2 linked regions of the Mus musculus genome follow. The protein of the gene in region 2 purifies or fractionates together with the protein of the main gene of each other region. This does not show direct contact. Links are inferred from orthologs where the notes say so. Each region holds a gene or a part of one and is shown on either strand. Other genes may lie near its edges.

Region 1 (9,598 bases), on a different chromosome or scaffold from region 2:
CCCAAGGAGGTCAGATCTTCAGGAAAAAGAGGGACAGACAGTTGTGAATGGCCTTGTCTGTGCTGGGAACTGAACCCAGGTTCTCTGGAAGAGCAACCAGTGCTCTGAACCATAAAGTAGGCAGGGGGAATAAAACTATTCAGATATTAGTTGATATAAAAATAAAAAGCAAGATTGGTAAGACATAGAAAGAAAGCCCATAGCAGCTTCCACAATTTCTGCCTCTCCCAAGGAAATGTTTCCAATCCCCTGTTTATGTTTCTGCAATAGAGCTGGAATGCTTTAAAGATGCCACATTGTGCCAAATTATTCTATTATTTGAGTTGATCTACACAACAACATGATTTAGAAATTGATTCAGAAACTGATCTAGGGACATAGCTCAGGTGGTAGAGTGCCTTCCTAGCAAGAACAAAGCCTTGAGTTCAAGATCCAGCACTGCATACACAAAGACGGCCTCCACTTAAGGGACGCGGAGGCAGAAGATCAGGAGGTTCAACACCACCCTCAACTACAGAGTAAGTTCAAAACCAGCCTGAAACAAATTTTCCACACATTCTCACTGATATACTTTATTCAAATCATCTCAAGAAACGCTGACATCACCCATACCATATTTATATATAATTTGCACATCACTAAAGATAATTTCAGGAATAAATAAGAATCAGCATTTTCAACAGAATTTTTCTGTTTGTTTTTGCTTTTCAAGATGGAGTTTCTCTTGTTTGTTCTGGCTGTCCTGGAACTTGCTTTGTAGATAAGGCTAGCCTCTAACTCACAAGAAATCACCCTGCTTCTCTGCCTCCCAGGCACTGGGAATAAAGGTATGCACCACTATAACTATACCAGGCTAAAAAGACTTTTTAACTTGTAATTTTGTTTTAAGATAAGACTGTACTACATAGTCCAAGCTAACCTCAAACCTGTAATTCTCCTGCCTCAGTCTGAGTTCTAGGATTTGGCAGTTTATTTTAAACAAATAAAAAAACAAGCCATACTAACCAACCAAAACATATCTGGAAAAAAAAAAAAAAAAAAGCTTCTAATCTTTTTCAGATCAAAAAAGGAAGCACTCAGTGAGGCCTGGTAAAGTACACCTTCAAACCCAGTACCTGGGAGGCAGAGACAGGAGGATGTTTTGTGAATCTGAGGCCAGCCTGGTCTACCTAGTAAGTTTCAGCTCAACCAGGGCTATACAGTGAAACCTTTTAACACACACAAAAAAAGGGAGGATAGGCAAAAAGACTCAGAAAACCTTTACCTGGCAGTTTTCTGTGCTGTCTTGTACCACTGAACTCATTATAGGCAACCCAACACTGCTTTTATTAACAAACTTTAGAGTTAAAAAAATAAAAAGCTCTAACTCTACAAAATGGAAAGTGATTTTTACAATGTGTTTAACACAAGCAGACTGCAAAACTGATTCTTGACAGACAAAATGTGAAAGTGTTACTGTTTTAACACCCAGAAAAGAACATTTAGTTAACTCATAACATTTAGATACATGATAAACCCTCCAAGCTCCCACCAAACCATTGCAATATCCTTTCAAATCCCCCAAAGAGTCATTCTTTTTACCAAATAAGACAAGGAAAATAAATTCTAACAGTAAAACCTGAAAGGCAGCCATTCACTGTCTTTCCTCTTAGGTGCTGAGGATCCAAACTCCCTCTGTCCATCACGGAGCTACATCCCTAGCACCATCTTACACTTCTTAGGGGGCTACAGGACTCAACTACACAGACAATTGAATTTGTTAACACTTCTAATATATGGAGTCTGAAAAATACAAATTAAAAGGTCATATGCCCGGAATCCCAGCTACTGGGAGGCTGAAATCAGGAGATGGAAGATCACATTAGAACAAAATTTGAGCAACAATTTAGAGCAACGATTTGAGAGCCCACCTCAAAATAAAAGTGTTGGATCTCTAGGGGGAAAACACAAAATGAAAATTACATATTGCACAAGGTAATAATATGGTATCATAAAGAACACATGACACTTGAATAAGATGACTTTGAGTCTCAGCTCTGCCCCAACATCAAGATGTGGACATGTCAGTAGATATTTAGCATGGATTTCACGTTCTCAATCTAGAAAACAAAAGGCTAGATTCCAGTGTTTCAACAACGTTCCATGATATCATGACACAAATCCATATAAAATTAAAAAGCAAGGGGAAAAAAAAAGTCAGCTGGGGAAAGGATGTTTAAGAAAAAAGCACAGCAATAACTACACAAGCAAATGTCATCACAAAACACACCGCTCTGTGCGCTAACTTAAAAAGAAAGAGGGCGTGCGAAACAAACAAACAAAGACTCAGTTTAACATAGGTAACAGAAAATCTTGACAACCTTCACTCAAATCACAATTAAATTTCTAGGGACTGGAAAGATGTCTCCAGTTAAATTCAAGTATGGTTCTTGCAAAAGATCCAAGGCTGATTCCCTACAACAGGAGGCTTGTGACCCCCTGTAAGTATCTGACACTTTCTCCTGGCCTCCCTTTTCAGGCACCTGCCTCTTGTGCACATATCATGCCCTCAACATACATACAAGCACACACTTTTTAAAAATGTTTAACAATATGTAAAACAATGTAACTCTGGATGGGTGTCAAGATGCCTCTGTAGTTAAAGGTACCTACAGCCAAGCCTAAAAACCTGAGTTCACTTCATGGGACCTCTGTGGGGGACAGAGAACTGACCCCTCACAAGCTGTCCTGACTCTGGGTGTAGAAAATATAATAACCAATCACTTTTTTAAAAAATAGAACTTTAGACTGATGATACACCTCAAAGGTTTATGAGAAGCCATTGGTCTCACCCCAAAACTGAGGGAAGGCAAAAGAGACAGGAGAGGGAAAGAGAAGAGAGGGCGGGGAAGGGAGGAAGGAAATTAAGGAAGAAGGAAAGCTTAGCGAACTTTTCCTTTGCAAAGTTAGTAGTTTGCAGAGAATGTTTCTGTATTAGGACAGATGGCTCAGTGGTTAAGAGCTCTTGCAGAGGATCTCTGTTCTGTCCCCAGAGTCCACAGCACATGTCGTACAAAACACTACAAAACACATAAAATAAAAATAAACCCTTAAAAGACTGGAATCTAGAGGAAAGATATTACTAGTGTCTAAACAGTGAAAAATATGTTCAAAGTATTATTTTAAGATCAGCACAGGCAGAACACATTTGAGATCCTCCAGGCAGAAAATCCAGTTAGAGTTACTGAGTAGTTCAGAAACTGAAAAACAATATATAAGAATACAAAGGTAAGATTTTTTTTTTAAAGAAAACAACTACAAAAAAACAGTACAATGTTAAGGTTTATGTCTGGGTTCCTGAAAGCATGCTACTAATGTATCGCTAATGAAAGACAGCTTGGAGGCGTGGGGCATCAGTTGTGAAGGGAAGACTTTGAAGTTCTATTTCCTTGATAGGTTAAAGTGAGAATCAGGCAGGCCTGTCAAATTGTCGTCAAACTGTTGGATTTGTTAAATGCTCAGTTCACGTTTCCTCCAATTTTACTTAACAGTGAAATAATCATTTGATTTTCTGGCATTGAAAGCATCCATTCTTCCACATTGCCAGAGTTAATTCATTTTTTTTCAAGTTCTCCTGAGAAGGAATTTATTTACAATAATAATCACAACAAGCCTTGAACTCTAGAACGAAGTTCTCAAATTAGAAAATCAGCAGCATAAACTATCACTCAATGTTTAATAAGGCAATACATTAACGTGTCGACTTATTAATACACGGATCTGTTGGGCTTGGAAACCTAAACAATTTAAAATGCTTGCTGGGGAGGCAAATCTTTTCAAACATAATGCTCATACATACAGCGGAGACATCAACACAATGTACGCTTTAGTTACTCTAGCCAATTCCTACAGAAGTTTTCCCAGAGAAAGCACCACATGTGGCCACGATGAAAAAAAAGTACTAATCAACCAACGCATACGCTTTGACTTAACTATCACGATGTGAAGAGAATATCTATTTAAAAACAAGACTGAAAATGATCAATCAAAACTTTCTCCTTGGACTATTTCTCTGTTCATGTTGTGACGTCGCTAAAGGCTGAAAGCACACAATTGATTTCCAGGTGCTTAAGAAACCGTTAAGGCTGATTGATCATCATCAAGCTACCAAAGCTTTTGAAAATGGAACGCTTCTTGCAAAACTTGACCCGTTTTTTTGGCCGAACCCTGGATTCTCACTGCTCCCCACCCAAGATGGGGTCAGGAAGTTTTCTTCATCTCGTTCTTTCCTAACTCCTGTGAATTCTTTCCTAACTAAGGGCAGTATTTTTCTTCGGGTGACTTCAGCTCGGCTCGACGTTAACCGGTCATGTTACGGTCCTCAACCCTGAACAAAAAACCAGCTTCCTTCCAACCCAGCTGTTAACACTGAACCGACCTAGCACGGAAACCCGTACGACAACAGTACGAAACCAACCCAGAGGACTGCTTTTCCTGGACCAACCCCACCTCAACAGCCCCCGGACACCCACATCTCTCCTGCTCCGGAACGGGAGGGGGAGGGGAGGGCGCGCCCCGAGGATGTCCCCCCTCTCGGCTTCCTCAGGCTGGCGGCTGGAGGTGAGAGCGCCCTTCCTGCCAGCCTACCGTCCCGGCCTCGGACACCGACACAGACCGCCGACAGGGCTTTCTGCGGAGAACCGCCGAGGCAGCGCGCCGCACACTTGCCTGCCCGCCTCCCCGACCGGCGCTCGCAGCTCAGGCCAGAGGCCGCGGGGTCACCGGGCTGCACCGCGGACACCCGAGCTCCGCCGAGCGGCCTCCCCGCCCCCTCCGCTCCGCTCCGCCGCCAGCAGACGGCGCCCCCGGGCCAACTTCGCCGGGGAAAGAGGAAGCGACTAGAGACTAGCAGGCAGAGCGGACCGACCGGGAGACCGAAAGGACTGTGCGTGTGTCCGCACGCGAGCGAGGCCGTCTCACCTTCCCTCCGCCGAGCCCTCGGCTCCAGTCACCTGAGGACCGCACCGGGACGCCACCGCGGCTGCCCGGATGCCGTTACCGCACGAGGCCTGTGCTGCGCCGCCGCGTAGCTCTCGGAGAGGGGCGGGGCGCGCGCAACCGGTGGGCGGACCGTTGCGGGCAGGAAACCCGCTCCACGCCCAATCTAATAGGCTCCATCGCCTCCTGCGCCCGCCCCTGACGCTTCAGCGGAATGCGCCGCTCCGGGATTGGGCGAGCGGGCTTGTCAATCAAGCGCGGGCCCTGAGTGGTCCCTGAGCTGAGACTGCGCGGCCTTTGGACAGAAGGTGAGGAGCGCCGGGCCCCACCGCCCTGTTCTCCCCTAGCCTCCTCGGTGGCTGCTTACTTTCCGCCTCTCCCACTGCTACTAAAACCTGTCATTCATTTTAAATCGCTCATTAATGTCGAACAGCGGTCCCGAGTTCAACCCAGACTACTCTGGTGCCTGCATCTGAAAGGGCCGACCAGCTGCAGATCTTAGGGACAGGGAGCGACAAAGAAAATGAAGCCTCGGGGGAAAAATGTAAGATGTTTGTTAATGAAAACCACAACCAAAATAAGCTTTGCGAGCAACTTCCGAGTGCCCTGGCGCGTGGGTAGCCTTCATTCCCGGCTTCCAGTCCTGTGAAAAGGACAGTTACTTCTGCCCTAGGGGTGAGTATGGCAGTGGCACAGTCCCAGCCACCTGCCAAGGAAGGCATCAATAAATCGGCTCTCCTTCCTAACTTGCCTTACAGCGACTCATAACCTGCCTCACTATTTCCCAATCACCTTTGTTGCTTAGTGTGGGTGTGGCACCTAAAAGAAACATTCTAGGTTAGGTAATTTTATGGAAACACGAGTTTTTGCCTCCAGCGTAGCTGCACCCATATACCTAGATTGCAAAGTCTATTAAAAGAACTGTTTCACCCACGCCCACCTCGTGCCTAGCACATCATCCTCAACAATCGAGGAATTAATACAGCTTCCTTTCATCTTTTAAAAATTCATTTTTATTCTTTGTGTGTTCGAGTGTTTGGTGTACTTGTGTTATACTTGTGTATAATTTTGCTGCCCATGGAGGTCAAATGAGGGTATAGGATCTTCTGGAACTGGAGTTACAGATGGTTTTGAACCACCCTGTGGGTGCTGGGAATCAAACTCAGGCCCCTTGGAAGACCAGCGCTCTTAATCACTGAATCTCAGCCCCTTCCTTTAGCTATACTACAAGCCCTACCTGTAAATCCTAAAAAGTTGTTTTCTGCTTTTAACTTAATTGCATGTTAATAAATACATGGGTGGCCTGCCCTAGGTAAAATACAAGTTACCTGTAGCCCCTTTTAATCCTGAGTTTAGTTGAGAAAAGTAGAACATAAAACTGGGGAAAGGATACTCTGCCTATTGTTAGTATCAAAAGTAAGTAATGCAAATTATATATTTAAAAACATACATACCGAAGAGAAGGGGGTGATGCATGCAGAAGCAGGTGGATCGAGGCCAGCCTGGTCTACAGATTGAGTGTGAGTTCCAGGACAGCCAGGGCTACCCAGAGAAACCCTGTCTCAAAAAACAAAAAGACAAATATATATATATATATATATATATGCAGAGACAGGTTCAAGTTCTGCAAGTTCAAGGCCACCCTGGTTTATGTAGCAAATCCTAGGACAGTCAAGGCTACATAGAGAGATGCTATCTCAAAAGCAAAAACATACAGGCAGCTGACCCCCATTAACTCCAAAGGAGGATATTTGGGGTAATAAAGGAAATAAGAATCCTCCATATCTTAAGACCTTTCCCAGTAAGCTATTGACAGCTTATATAGTTAGAATGACCTAGTTTAGTGTCCCTATCATACAGTAATGTTTAGGAGGAAGAAAATCCTACCTATCTGCTATCAAGAAGTTATCACAGACTTGATATTGAAGTGTAAACATTAGTGGGCCCTACTAAATAAACTTAACTTCTGGATTTAGTATAGTTATGCTGTTATAGGAAAGAGTCTACCTTGTATGGAAGGTGCTAAAATAGGCACTGCAGATCTTGAGTCCACACCAGTGTCAGATATTGAGATTTAAACCAACCTGTATTATTTCTGTGCTAACCATATCAACAGTTGTATGTAGGGACAGATGGGCATTAAGCCACAATGAGAGGGAAATGTGTAGTAAGACTATTTGAGCAAAAAGAAGGGCTTGGGAGGGAGTTACCAAGTCTAAAGACATTAAGCAATTATAGTAATGTTGATGGAGCAGACAGTGGCTAGATTTGAAGCAATGTGTTAGGAAAGCTGAGGTCCTTAGAGTTTATCCTACAAGAAATGAGAAAGAGTTGTTTCACTAAAGAGTTGTTTTTCAGTACTTTTTCAGTAGATCATTCTGATGTTTTCTAGCTCTTGTTTCTACTGAGAAGCAAGTAGCAATTCAAAAAAAAAAAAAAACCAACTTTCTTTTATGTGTGATGGGTTTTGCTTACATGCAGTTCCCTCAGAGACCAGAAGAGGGCACCAAATTCTGGAACTGAAATACCAGACAGTTGTTAGTTGCGAGTGGGTGCTAGGAACCCAACTCGTCTTCTAAAGACCACAGTGACAGGAGCTGAACTATGACCCTGAAAGGACATTGTACAGCATAAAAATTTTTTAAAAAGGATAAAACTGTAGGCATAATGTTTTTATACACTGTGTTAATCAAATGCTGATTTCTCTGCCCTCATACCTTGTTTCAGTCCAGACACAGCATTGTAATGCTTATACCAAGAATCTCCTGTCTCAGGTTTGTGTGTAAAACAGTTCTTATTCTGTGCCTTGTCAATAAATGCTGATCACCCAGTGGCTGGGTAGAAAAGACAGTCGCACCCACCAGCCAGAGGAAGGAGAGAGGGAGAGAGGGAGATTCAGATCAGCAGCAGGATGGAGGAAGTGGAGCCATGAAGAAGGGGTCTGAAGAGCTGGGTCATTATCACGGGATGGGGCTGGGAGGTAGCCACATTAGCGCAGAAGTTTAGGATAGATCACTTAACTATGGGTAATGAGGCGTAGTTTTAAATAAATCTTGATTTCTCTGTGAAGTTACTGGGGACTAGCATAACATAAATAAATACAGTCACCAGATTAATTCACAGCCACATTTATATTAAAGAAATTTCATTCACATTAAGCCATAGAGCAAGGGGGAGCAGGGTAGGCCATACCGTTGTCCAATCATACTTTGACATAAGGATTGAACAAGGGAGTGTCCATCCATCAGGACTGGAGTTGGTCCCTGGGCCTGGGAACAGGAACTTGTTTGACGCTGCCGACAAGATGGAGAAGTTGTCCTTGAGATGTCTGGACTCAGGCAACTGTTTCCTTACGACAGAAGCTGTTCAGCTACTGGGAATCCCCAGCTCCCCTGGGACCTGGGACCTGGAATTTAGTTTCTCTGTATAGTCGAATGGAGTCTGAAAATGAAATGGAGTCTGAAAATGAAATCCTTAGAATGAGTTTCTCTAGCTTGTTCCCAACGATGTCTATGCTCACCCTTAGCAGGTTACACCCAAGATTACATATGTGGACATATGCTGCCCAGGGTCTTACTGAATCTCCCAAGCTGGCCTCAAATTTAGGAGCATCCTGCCTCAGCTTTCTAAGACACTGAGATTACAGGCTTATAGCTCTATGTCTGGCTCAGTTTGCATAATGTCTGTTGATATCTAATGTCTAGTAATCCCTGAAAATCTTAAGTATCAACACTTCCCAACGCTGGCTACCTTGCTAATGGATTTGGATTTGTTTGGAGATAATTTAGAAACATTTTATTCAGAAAAACAGAAATCACATTTTACCACAATGGAGGAAATTTAGGATTATGTGTTAATGGACTGAAAAAACTGACGCCAGGTTTGGTGGCTCATGCCTGTCACCCCATTATTGGGAGGATCACCCCAGGTTCAAAGCCAGCATGGGTATATAGTGAGACCCTGTCTCAGAGGATCACAAAATAAATAATAAAATAAAATAAAATGCAGGGAGGGGCCAGAGATGACATTGAGGTAACCCAAAGGAAGTTGCTTTGTGGATCAGCTACCACCCCTAGGGCTAGTGAAAAGGGAGATCAAGTCTGGACTAAAGCACTTGAGCAGTAAGGCATGACCCAGCTGGGATATAGCTCAGACCTCCAGGAGGAAGCTCTCAGGTTGGCTCTTCTACTGCTCAGGGAATGATGTGCAAGTAGAATAATGCCAAAAGTAATCCCAAAAATAAGGGTAAAATCAAGTCAAACAGCAAATGATAAGGCAAGTGGAAAGAGGGAAGTCCCTCTCCTGCCATCTAATCTATTGACTTGTTTGCTTTGTCAAGTATGTGTGTGTGTGTGTGTATGTGTTTGTTTATTTGCAGTACTGGGGGCTCAGTTTTTGCCTTCTAATCTCCCCCTGTTGACTTATTTGCTTTTATTTATTCGTTTATTCATTAATTTGCAGTGCTGGGAGTTGAGCCTAAAGCAGCTTGCTACATAGTATGAGCTATATCCCCAGTAGACTTTCTTTTTTTTGAAAACCAGTCTGAGTAAGTTGCCAAAGCTAACCCTGAACTTTGTGATCCACCTGCCACAGCTTCCCAAGTAGCTAGAATTACAGCCCT
Region 2 (9,554 bases):
CAGAGCTCTCGTTTGGGTCTGGGGACTGTCCCCCACCTCTCTCCCCTTTCAGGAATCACTATGAATGGGAGGAAGTAGGTTGGCCTTGTTTCCTAAAATAACTTGTATTTCTGGGCTTTTCTTATCTCAGGCTGGTTGTGGGGTCCCCAGGCCTGGGTCTTAACTACTGGATGCTCCCTCAGGATGTTCCTGGCTGTTGGCCTGTGTCACCTCAAGGTTTTACTCCTATGATTAGTCAAGAGCTTTTTGTCCCTACTTGCCTCATTATAGGGGTCTACCTACCTCTGTCTCTGGCTGTATTAGAGCGGAGAATATCACCTCTTAGGAGCTCCAATAATGGTCGATAAGAACACAAATCCTATGAGTTATCAGAACTATATCCTATTCTGGATATAAAGATACTGTACAGTTAAATTAACCATGGCAATGAATGTCACTTTATACAGATCACCCTGAGTAAAAAGTCCAGTTTTAGGTTAAAACATGTTTCCCGACATCTTAGAGTTTTCTGCAAAACAGGGTCTGTTTTAACTTCCGAGTCCTTCACCTCAACTCTGACTGACAGGGCGAGGAAGCTGCCATCGCTTAATGATGAGTAAAAAACGAACTGCATTTGAGGGGAATAAGCGTAAAAATTAATGTTTTTAAAAAGTGACTACTTTGAAGAGTCTGCCGTCTAACAGGGGTTAGAAAAGACTGGAATACAGGACAGAACAGAAATCATGGGCAGGTGAGGACTAAGCTAACAGGGACAGGTGACTGAGAGAAAGGGACAGGTGACTGAGAGAAATGAGCCAAGGGAGCAGGGAGTGTTTCAGTGTATAGGAATGAGTTCTCACACAGTGTGAGCCATGCTTACCATCGTTAGCACAGAGGTGTGTGGCTAACGGTGCCTCCCGCTCGCTTTCCTATGTCCTTGTACAGAGTAGTAACAAAGCCTATTGTTTCTGTCTTCCTAAGGATGTGTGACCAATCGGAAAAGTCTGTAGAACTCACCTACAGATGTATGTAGAGAGGGCAGAGGAAGGGATGTTGCCAGAAAGGCACTTAGATGGGAATGGGAACCACAGGTTAGCAGAAGTCAGGAATGGGAGGGTCATGTCCAACAAAGGTGGGGACAGGGCTGAGTCAAAGGTGCAGGGTTTGGAATAAGGCTGCTCAGGTCTGAACTAACCCTGTCACTAGCTAAGAAACTCAGCCTCACACACCAAATAAACAGAAATCTCACAGAGTTGCACAAATATTCAATGAATCAACTAAACGGCATATGACTGGTAACATTATAGGAAGGAAGAGGGAAGGGAGAGGAGTCATAGAAGGAAGGAAGAAAAGAGGGAGAGAGGAGTGGGGAGGGAGGAGCTGGGAGATGCTCAGCACCCACTCCGTGGCTCACACCATCTTTATCTCTGGTTCCACGAGATCCAATATGCTCTTCTGGTCTCCATGGACACCTGCATTCATGCAGCTCGCAGGCACTCATCTCTCCAGCCTCTGGATCGTTTGATTTTGCTGTTGTTTTGTTTTGTTTTTAAAAACAAGGTTTCTCTGTGTAGCTCTGGCTGTCCTAGAACTAACACTATAGATCAGACTGGCCTTGAACTCACAGATTTCCACTTGCCTGTGCCTCCTGAGTGCTGGGATTAAAGGCACACCATCACCACCCAGCTTAAATGACGGCAGACTTTGTCCTAACACATTTTCTGTTCTAGAATAGCCAATGGTTTTTGTTGTTGTTGTTTGGTTTTTCGAGACAGAGATTCTTTGTAGTCCTGGCTGTCCTTGAGCTTGGAGATCTGCCTGGCTCTGCCTTCCAAGTGCTGGGATTAAAGGTGTGTGCCACCAAAATCACTGAAGGCTTTGAAGAATTTCATTCACTTAATTTAATTGGGCTGGGTGGTGGTACATGCCTTTAGTCCCAGAACTCAGGCAGCAGAGTCAGGTTGACCTCTGAGTTCAAGGCCTATCCCGAAAAACAAACAAAAAATAAATAAATAATAATTTTTAAAATTTTTTTAAATTAATATAATTTGGCTCAGTGATAGAGTCTTGCTTAGCATGTCTGAATCACTGGGTTCAAACCTCAGCACTGCCAAAAAGAAAAGCAAAATGCACACTAGTATAACTGAGAGATAGGGCAAAACCAAAAGGCAACATGAATTATACTAAAGAAATGGCTTGCTCAAAGAGAAAAATTCATTTATCGTAAACATTAAAATGTAACAGAGACATTTTTATGTGAGTCATAGCAATCAAGACTACAATACAAAAGCTGTAGATAGTTACATCTCGTTACCCTCACCTGTGTTCTTTCACTGAGTAGCAAAGTTTATTGCTTTTGTGTTCTCAGTAAATATCTGTGACTAACAGCAGGCTGTAATGCTGCGGTCCCACGAGCTGTCCGGCCACAAGAAGAAATGGTGTTCTAGCTACTGGGCTTTGGGCTACACACCTGAGATCAAAGCTGCTTGGACTGAGAGAAGCAGCTAATATACTTGTTAAACTCCACTCCCATGGATGGAGGGTCATGATAACCAATATTTCCTGGTGCCAAGGGGCTAAGAAAGTGATGCATGCTGTCTCTGCATTCCCTGTCCTTAATCTGCCCCTAAAAACCTCAGCAGTGTAGGCTCTTCTGGGTGGACAGACACTGCAGATCCCAGACATCAAGAGTCTTCTCCTTGGAGCTACATGGTAAATGTCAAACATGTGATAGATCATGGGCATCCCAGAGACTATATGTTAATTTATACTAAAAGCGGCTCCTATATGTAGGCTATTTTGTTGCGTCCACACTGATTATAATAATGTTAATGATAATGGCCCACAAACACCAACAGCACCATTAAATACAACCTGCTAAGTATACTGTGCATGTGACCACATATGACCCTCATAGCAATCCTCTTGTAGAGATTGTTGATCTCACTTTAGGGGTAAAGAAAAAAAGACCTTGTAAGATAGAGTACTTGTACCAGTCACAAGATTAAGGAGACTTCGTGGTCCATGCAGTAACCACATGGAAACTAACTATATTCAGCACACTGGCATCACCTGTGGGCTCTCAAATGTGAATTCTCTAGAGCCAGAGGCCCATGCATGTAATCCCAGGACCTGAGAGGCAGAAGGAGGAGGACTGCTCCAAGTTCAAGGCCAGTCTGGTCTATATGGCAGGTTTCAGGCCAGCCAAGGTTACCTATTATAAACAAGCCAAACCAAGACTCACACCCCTCACTCCACACTCGCAGAATTGAGCCTTTGGAAGCCTCTAGTCACACATGGCTAACCACGACCCAGCCTACTCCACACTGATCCACACGTTAGCAGATAACACTACTCAACTAACTGATCCTCAGAGGTTTCTTTGTCCAAATGTATCCATGAGTCAGTTAGTGATCTCAACCTGACTGTAATACCCACGGGGAGGAGGGGGGGAGGCAGCAGCTGCATTTGTTAGGGTTGAGCAGTATAAGGGAGGCTCCGTGAGGAAGTCCTTTGTCCCGGGGAAGTGAAACCAGGAGTGGTTCTCAACTGAAGCTGGACAGAGGGACAGAATGTGAAGGCGCCTTCGAATCTCTCCATGGCAAGCACATACACAGTGATAAGTAATTGCTAACGGAAGGAGCCAATGAAAGGCCGACTCCCAGCAGCTGGAAGGAATCCCACTCCTTGAACCCCTTGTTCTCCCCTACCTTACCACATTTGCCTTCCAGCTCTGCTGTTCCAAACAAGGTTGTCTACAGTGATGGTAAACATCCAGGACAAGTCCTTCTGAGCTAACTCTACCCAGCGGAGAGCATGACAGCATCTTCCAGTAAAGACCCTCGATGCTCAAAGAGCCATGAGCTTGATTCCAGCTGCAGCCTAATTGGCGTGTGTGGGGCTGGTGGCCTGGCTACGTGGGTTGCTGGAAGGCAGCTCAGTGGGGCCTCCGTACGGAAATCATCAGAAATCTAGTAGACTCCATTGGAGGACAGGCCCCAGGATGGCCAGAGCTCTGGGACCTAGATTCCCAGGTTCTTAGAAATGAACAGGTTGCAGCAAGAAATAAAAATGTCCTGTGTACTTTAGAATAAAAGTATAAAAGGAATAAAAGAATATTTGGCATCACCGTGGAAAGTGCTCAACTTTAAAACTACAGCTATAGTTAGGAACACATTCAGTTATCCAAGACTGTGAGAAAAAACGGAGTATCATGAACATTCATGAAACCTGGCTCATGGCGGCCAAAGCACCTTGGCACGGTCAATTTAAAAGACACAGGCATTCTGCTCTTTGCTACCTACCAACTCTCTGGCAGTTCCTTTTTGCTCTTGTGTCTTGTTGTTACACGGTGCCTGGTGACTGGTTACTTTGTATCAAATTGCTTCTTGCTGTCTCATAACCTGTTATCCTGTTCTAGCCTCACACCCAGCGGTGGAAAGACTGTCAACCGAGTCACACAGTAGGTTTAAGGGCATCCGGCAGTAGCTAAACACACAGAAGAAAATGTGTGAAATGGACAACGGAAGTAAGATGCGAATCCCTCCATCTGCAAATAAGTTCATTCTCCCTTTCTATCCCAGAGTTTGATCATTCCCTGCTTTCAGATCTCTTTGCTTTCCATCACGTAATCTAAAAGCGCTCATGTGATTCCCAAAGAGAAAAGCTACTCAGGGAAGACGGTGATGTCGCTGAGCGGATCCAGAACACTTGGAAAACCCAGTCTGCAGCTTCTCTTCAGCCGGCAACCGGCACTCACAGATATGTGTACGATCTGTACACATATGTGTACACCACCCCATGCCTCTGAGAGGATCAGCCTGGTGAACCGCAACTGGCAGGTAATCAGGGTAGAAGGCAGTGCCCTGAGCACTGTAAGAAGCAGAGAGCCCATAGTTTATGAAAGACTTTCTCTCTTTAAGAAGTCAAAAACATGATCTACAAACTTTTAAGTTATTTATCAATTATTGAAATAAGCATTTTTTGAGGAGGCAAAAAAAAATCTATCAAATGAAAATACAGTATTCAAATTATATGGAAGCTGTTAAAAGAAAACCTACCCAGGCTGCACACGTGTCCGCTGTCCCTGTGGGTCTACCTGCAGGCCCGCTCAGGAACCAGAGAGATGAAGGGCAAGGAAGATCCAAGACAGACTAGCGATTTTCAGAGAAAGAGACCAAATCTGCTCACTGTAGAAACCCTGAGGGGTTAGGAGCCTATAGCCCGGGGATATTCCTTGGAGATTAAGCAAGACCCAGTCAAACCAGGTTCCACACAGACACACCTTTTGTTAATCTGAGTTCAAAGTCTAGCCACAAACCGAGGATCTGGGTCATCCCTATTGGATTTCTCTTGCACTAGTTAAGTTTCACTGTTCTTTCTTTGAAAAGAAAAGCATGCTAAAGTAGCGGGAGATGAAGGCTGAAGGGAAGCGGTCCACGATTTAGGGAGAGGCCCCGGGCGCAAAGCCCTGACCCGAGCTGGCCGCCCTTTCAGGAGCAGACATAGGCACCTAGAGCGCGCCCATACCCGGGATCAGGCTGCCCGGGAGCACTGGAGCCAAGTTCTGGGAGCCCTAAACTCCAAAGTCACCCGCCCTCGGTGGAGATGGAGTTGCAGATGCGGTTCCCGGGCATCCCAGGGAGACCGCGGTTAGATCCATCGGGTCCACGGGCGGTCCTGGGTCGGTGCAGCCCCGCAGCGCTCAGCGGGGATCGCGGCATCTCGAGCCCCGGCAGCCGCCGCCCCTTCCTCCCGCGCGGGCTGGACCGCGGGCCTGAGCGGGGATCGCTCCCCTGGGCGCCGAGGACGCGGCCCCGACAACCCGCCCGTCTGCACCCCAACTCCGTGCACCCCGGACGCGCCCTGCATGGTGGGGCGCGGCTCCCTTACCGTGCAGCGGCTCCGGGCGGCTCCTCGGCCCCGCGGCGCGCGGGGCATTTTTTTCTGGGAAACTTCTCTCTGGGTCCGCAGGGCTGAGCCGGGGCGGGCAGGAAAAGCGCTCCGCGCCGGGAGGCTGCGACCATCCGGGAACTTCGCCGAGATGTGCGCCCTCCCCCTCGGCCCGCGTCCTCCCCCTACGGCCCCCGCCACACGCGGACGCCGAGGCAGCCGCTGGCCCTTCGCCCTTCGCCCTCGCCGCGCCCTGACTTCCGAGGCCGGCGGGACCGGAGCCTGGGCTGGGCTCTCCCCGGGGCGGAGGCCGAGGGGTCCGGACCTGCGTGCGCCCAGGAGCCGGACCTGGAAGGGATACCCAACCCAAGACGCTGTCCCTAGAAACTACCCGGGCCTCCGAGTGGGGTGCTCTCCCCCCAACACAGGGAAAGCCTTTTCCGGTCATCTCCACTCCGCTCCCGAATCAGAGGGCGCCCCCCGCTTTGAGAAACTTAAAAGTTTCCATTCACTGTAAAAACTGGCTTCTAAGATGGAGTGGCCCCACTGAAGCCCAAGGGCCACGCGCGTCCCCAATCCCCGCCCACTGGGAGCGCACAGCTCTTCCCAGGGTAAGGTGCCTATCGGTTGGGATTCTTGGAATCTTTTTTTTTTTTTTTTCCACCGACTTCTGCAAACATAGAAAGATCAAGAGCCGAGCGAGTATAAGGAGAAACCCGAGGCCCTTTCACATGGCTCTTGCCAGTTCTCAAAAACACCACTATCAGGCCTTAAAGGCAAGTTAACACTGGGATGACACATTAGAACATATACATTTGAAAGACAAAGACAGTTATGGTCAGTATAACTACTGGACCGGATAGTAAAGCTACCGAGACGACGTAGCTCTCTGGGTAAAGGCAGGGAAGCTTTGAAAGATGCACCTCAGAATGTGGCATCTAGAATGCCTCGGCTTCAGGCTTTCTGTGCTGAGTTGTCCCTATGTGTGCAGTCTCTGTGACATGCTTCTGGCGGATACGATAATCCTGGAAAGACAGCGACAGGGCCACCTCTCCTAAACTCTTATTAGCGTTTTTTTTTGTTTTTTTTTTTGTTTGTTTGTTTGTTTTTTTTTTTTTTTTGGTAGGAGTCTCTAAATGCACTCTTTCCTTTTTGTTTTGTTTTTGTTATTTTTAGGTCTCACCATGAATTCCAGGATGGTTACAAACTCCCACTGTTAACTGTATTCGTCTAAGGTCTATGCTATATTTGCCTTTTATGTATGTATTTATTTAATGTGTACAAGTGGTTTGCCTGCAAATATATCTATCTGTATCATGTGCTTGCCTGGTGCCACAGAGGCCATAAGAAGGTGTGGGATGCCCTGATAATGGAATTACAGACGGTTGGGAGCTACCACGTAGATGCTGGGAATCTAAGTGTCCTCTGTTAAGAGCAGCAAGTGCTCTTAACCGCTGAACCATTTTCTCCAGTTCTGGCGCATTGAGTTTGGATCTTTTCCTGGGTTAGCAGTGTGTGGTAAATATTCCTTCTTGTTGCTTGACAACACAGGGAATCCATGAGGAGGGTAAACAATCCATACTATGCTGCATTGTGCCGCCGGGTTGCTAAGCAGTGGGAGCAGCCAGGGACATTAAGTACACGTTCAGCTCGAGATGGTTTCTGCTGACATTTGGTCTTTCTATTGTAGACAGAGGCGCTCTGAACCTATTCTGCTTCTTGTTTCATGACTCCCATCTTGGGAGCCACTCTAACTCCTAATCCAGTGCCTTTGGACCTCCCACCCCCTTATAACCAGGACTTTATTTTGGTTACCTTCTCCTGAATAGATGGCAGTCTCAAACACCAGATAAGGGAGCTTACCTGCCTCATTGAGTTCTCACAGGAACCTCTGTGAAATAGGCATCTGTCTCTATTGTACACACTGAACAGTGCCCTCCAAAGCCTGGCTGACCTGCTCAAGATCTCTTAGCATATGAATTTCTAAATTCAGATCATTATGGTGTTAATACCTCGATCCAACCACCAAGCCATAAGTCTCTCAACTTGATTTCCTGTTTGTTCCACCTCTGAGCTGCTACTTTCAGGAGTGACCTGAATTAAGATCCCCGAATGCTAAGCCAGGAAAGAAAGACAGTGTTACAAGCTTTAGTAAAGAAGTGTTGGTGTCCAAGCAGATCTGGTTAAAGGCTCTGTGCTAGGTTAGGTTCTGTCTTCTGGGTTCATGCAGGAAGGATGTGGAGTGCCAGATGAATGGAGCTCTAAACTTGGCCAAGGGAAGCAGCAGAGGACCAGGATGTGCTGGGGAGGGCGGTGTCTGAGCCGCACGAGTGCTTAGCATATTTAATAGACATATCCAAAACGGAAAGGACAGTACTCCTGAGAGGTGATTATTTTACTTACTGACATTGCACTTTATTCCAAAAAGAATTTTTAAAAAGCCTTGAGGCAGAACTGAACATGGTAATATTTAGACCTCTGGGATAACATATTCACCAAATATTTTTGCTCCATTTTTTTTCTTTCCCAAAAATATGTACTTATTCTAAACAATTCACCTAGTTGATAGGCATAAAAACAGAAAGTGAAAGCCACCTACAATCCCATCTAGAAGCAGCCACTTGTGATTTTCCATGCTTTTTCTGTGATATTTTGTTACACAACAAATAGGAATGATGGGGTAAGTCAGTGGTAGAGTGTTTGGCTAAGATGCACAAGGTCCTGGGCTTGATTCCCCACCTACACACACACACACACACACACACGCACAAGCACATGCACACACTCACTCACAAACACACACACACGCGCGCACATACACACACACACACACACACTCACACACACACATACACACTCACTCAACAAATGTTTATTGAAAGAGCTGAATAGGATCACGTTTCCTGATAAAATAATCTATTGCATTGGTTATCTGCTGCTATATGAAATTATCATAAATTTACCAGCTCAAAACCACATCCATTTATTACTTCAGGGCTCTCTGTAAGTGAGCACCATATGACTTCTGATGAGAGGCTGGGCTCTTGACTAGAGGCACTGAGGGAAGGTCCACTCCAGGCTCATTCTGGTCACTGGCAAAACTAAGCTCCTGACTGAGATGGGGCTGAGGCGCCCCTTTCCTTCCTAGCTGCCAGCTTCAAGGTTGCTCTTTGCACTCGGAAGCCAGCACAGTCCTCACATCCAGGAACAAAGACTCTCCGTTTGCAGACTTCTTACATTCATGTATGGATGCCAGGATAAGACCTACCCATTTAATCCCACTGAAGCTGACCCCCTCTCTTAAACTCAGGCTTAATTACATCTGTGGCATCCCTTCACTGCAGCTTCTAGATTAGGGCCAGTTTGAATAACTGGTGGAAACTCTAGGGATAGAAGTCGCATGGGTATGAAAGTTTATCTTTCCATTCCTCTTAAGACTCAACAAATCTAATTTGTTCTTTTTTTTTAACTACATATTTTTAACTGTATTATGTACCACAATCCAGCCAAATTCTCTAACAGTGGACATTTATATTGCTTTCAGTTGTTTTCCTGCTTTGTACACAATAACCATTGATAATCGTAAGCGCTTATGTGCCGTGGAATTCTCTAACTAGTAATCAAATGTATAGAGAGCAATGCCATAACTTATAAAAACAGCATCTATGAGACAAGTGGGAAAG

What was found.
Region 1: the proteins of Wipf1 (region 2) and Nck1 purify together in Homo sapiens (co-immunoprecipitation; 5 studies listed by BioGRID and IntAct, with this or other methods). This does not show direct contact. The link is inferred for Mus musculus from reciprocal best matches to the Homo sapiens genes WIPF1 and NCK1.

The regions. Positions count from the first base shown.
Region 1 is NC_000075.6:100,541,036-100,550,633, forward strand, and holds the start of Nck1 (cytoplasmic protein NCK1), read right to left. Parts: upstream 5,100-9,598; 5' UTR 5,070-5,099; coding exon of another isoform or gene 4,422-5,069; intron 1-4,421. Other genes in the region: Gm46139 (synapsin-1-like), read left to right, coding at 4,422-5,069. UniProt on the Homo sapiens protein: Adapter protein which associates with tyrosine-phosphorylated growth factor receptors, such as KDR and PDGFRB, or their cellular substrates. Maintains low levels of EIF2S1 phosphorylation by promoting its dephosphorylation by PP1.
Region 2 is NC_000068.7:73,523,456-73,533,009, forward strand, and holds the start of Wipf1 (WAS/WASL-interacting protein family member 1), read right to left. Parts: upstream 6,033-9,554; 5' UTR 5,872-6,032; intron 1-5,871. UniProt on the Homo sapiens protein: Plays a role in the reorganization of the actin cytoskeleton. Contributes with NCK1 and GRB2 in the recruitment and activation of WASL.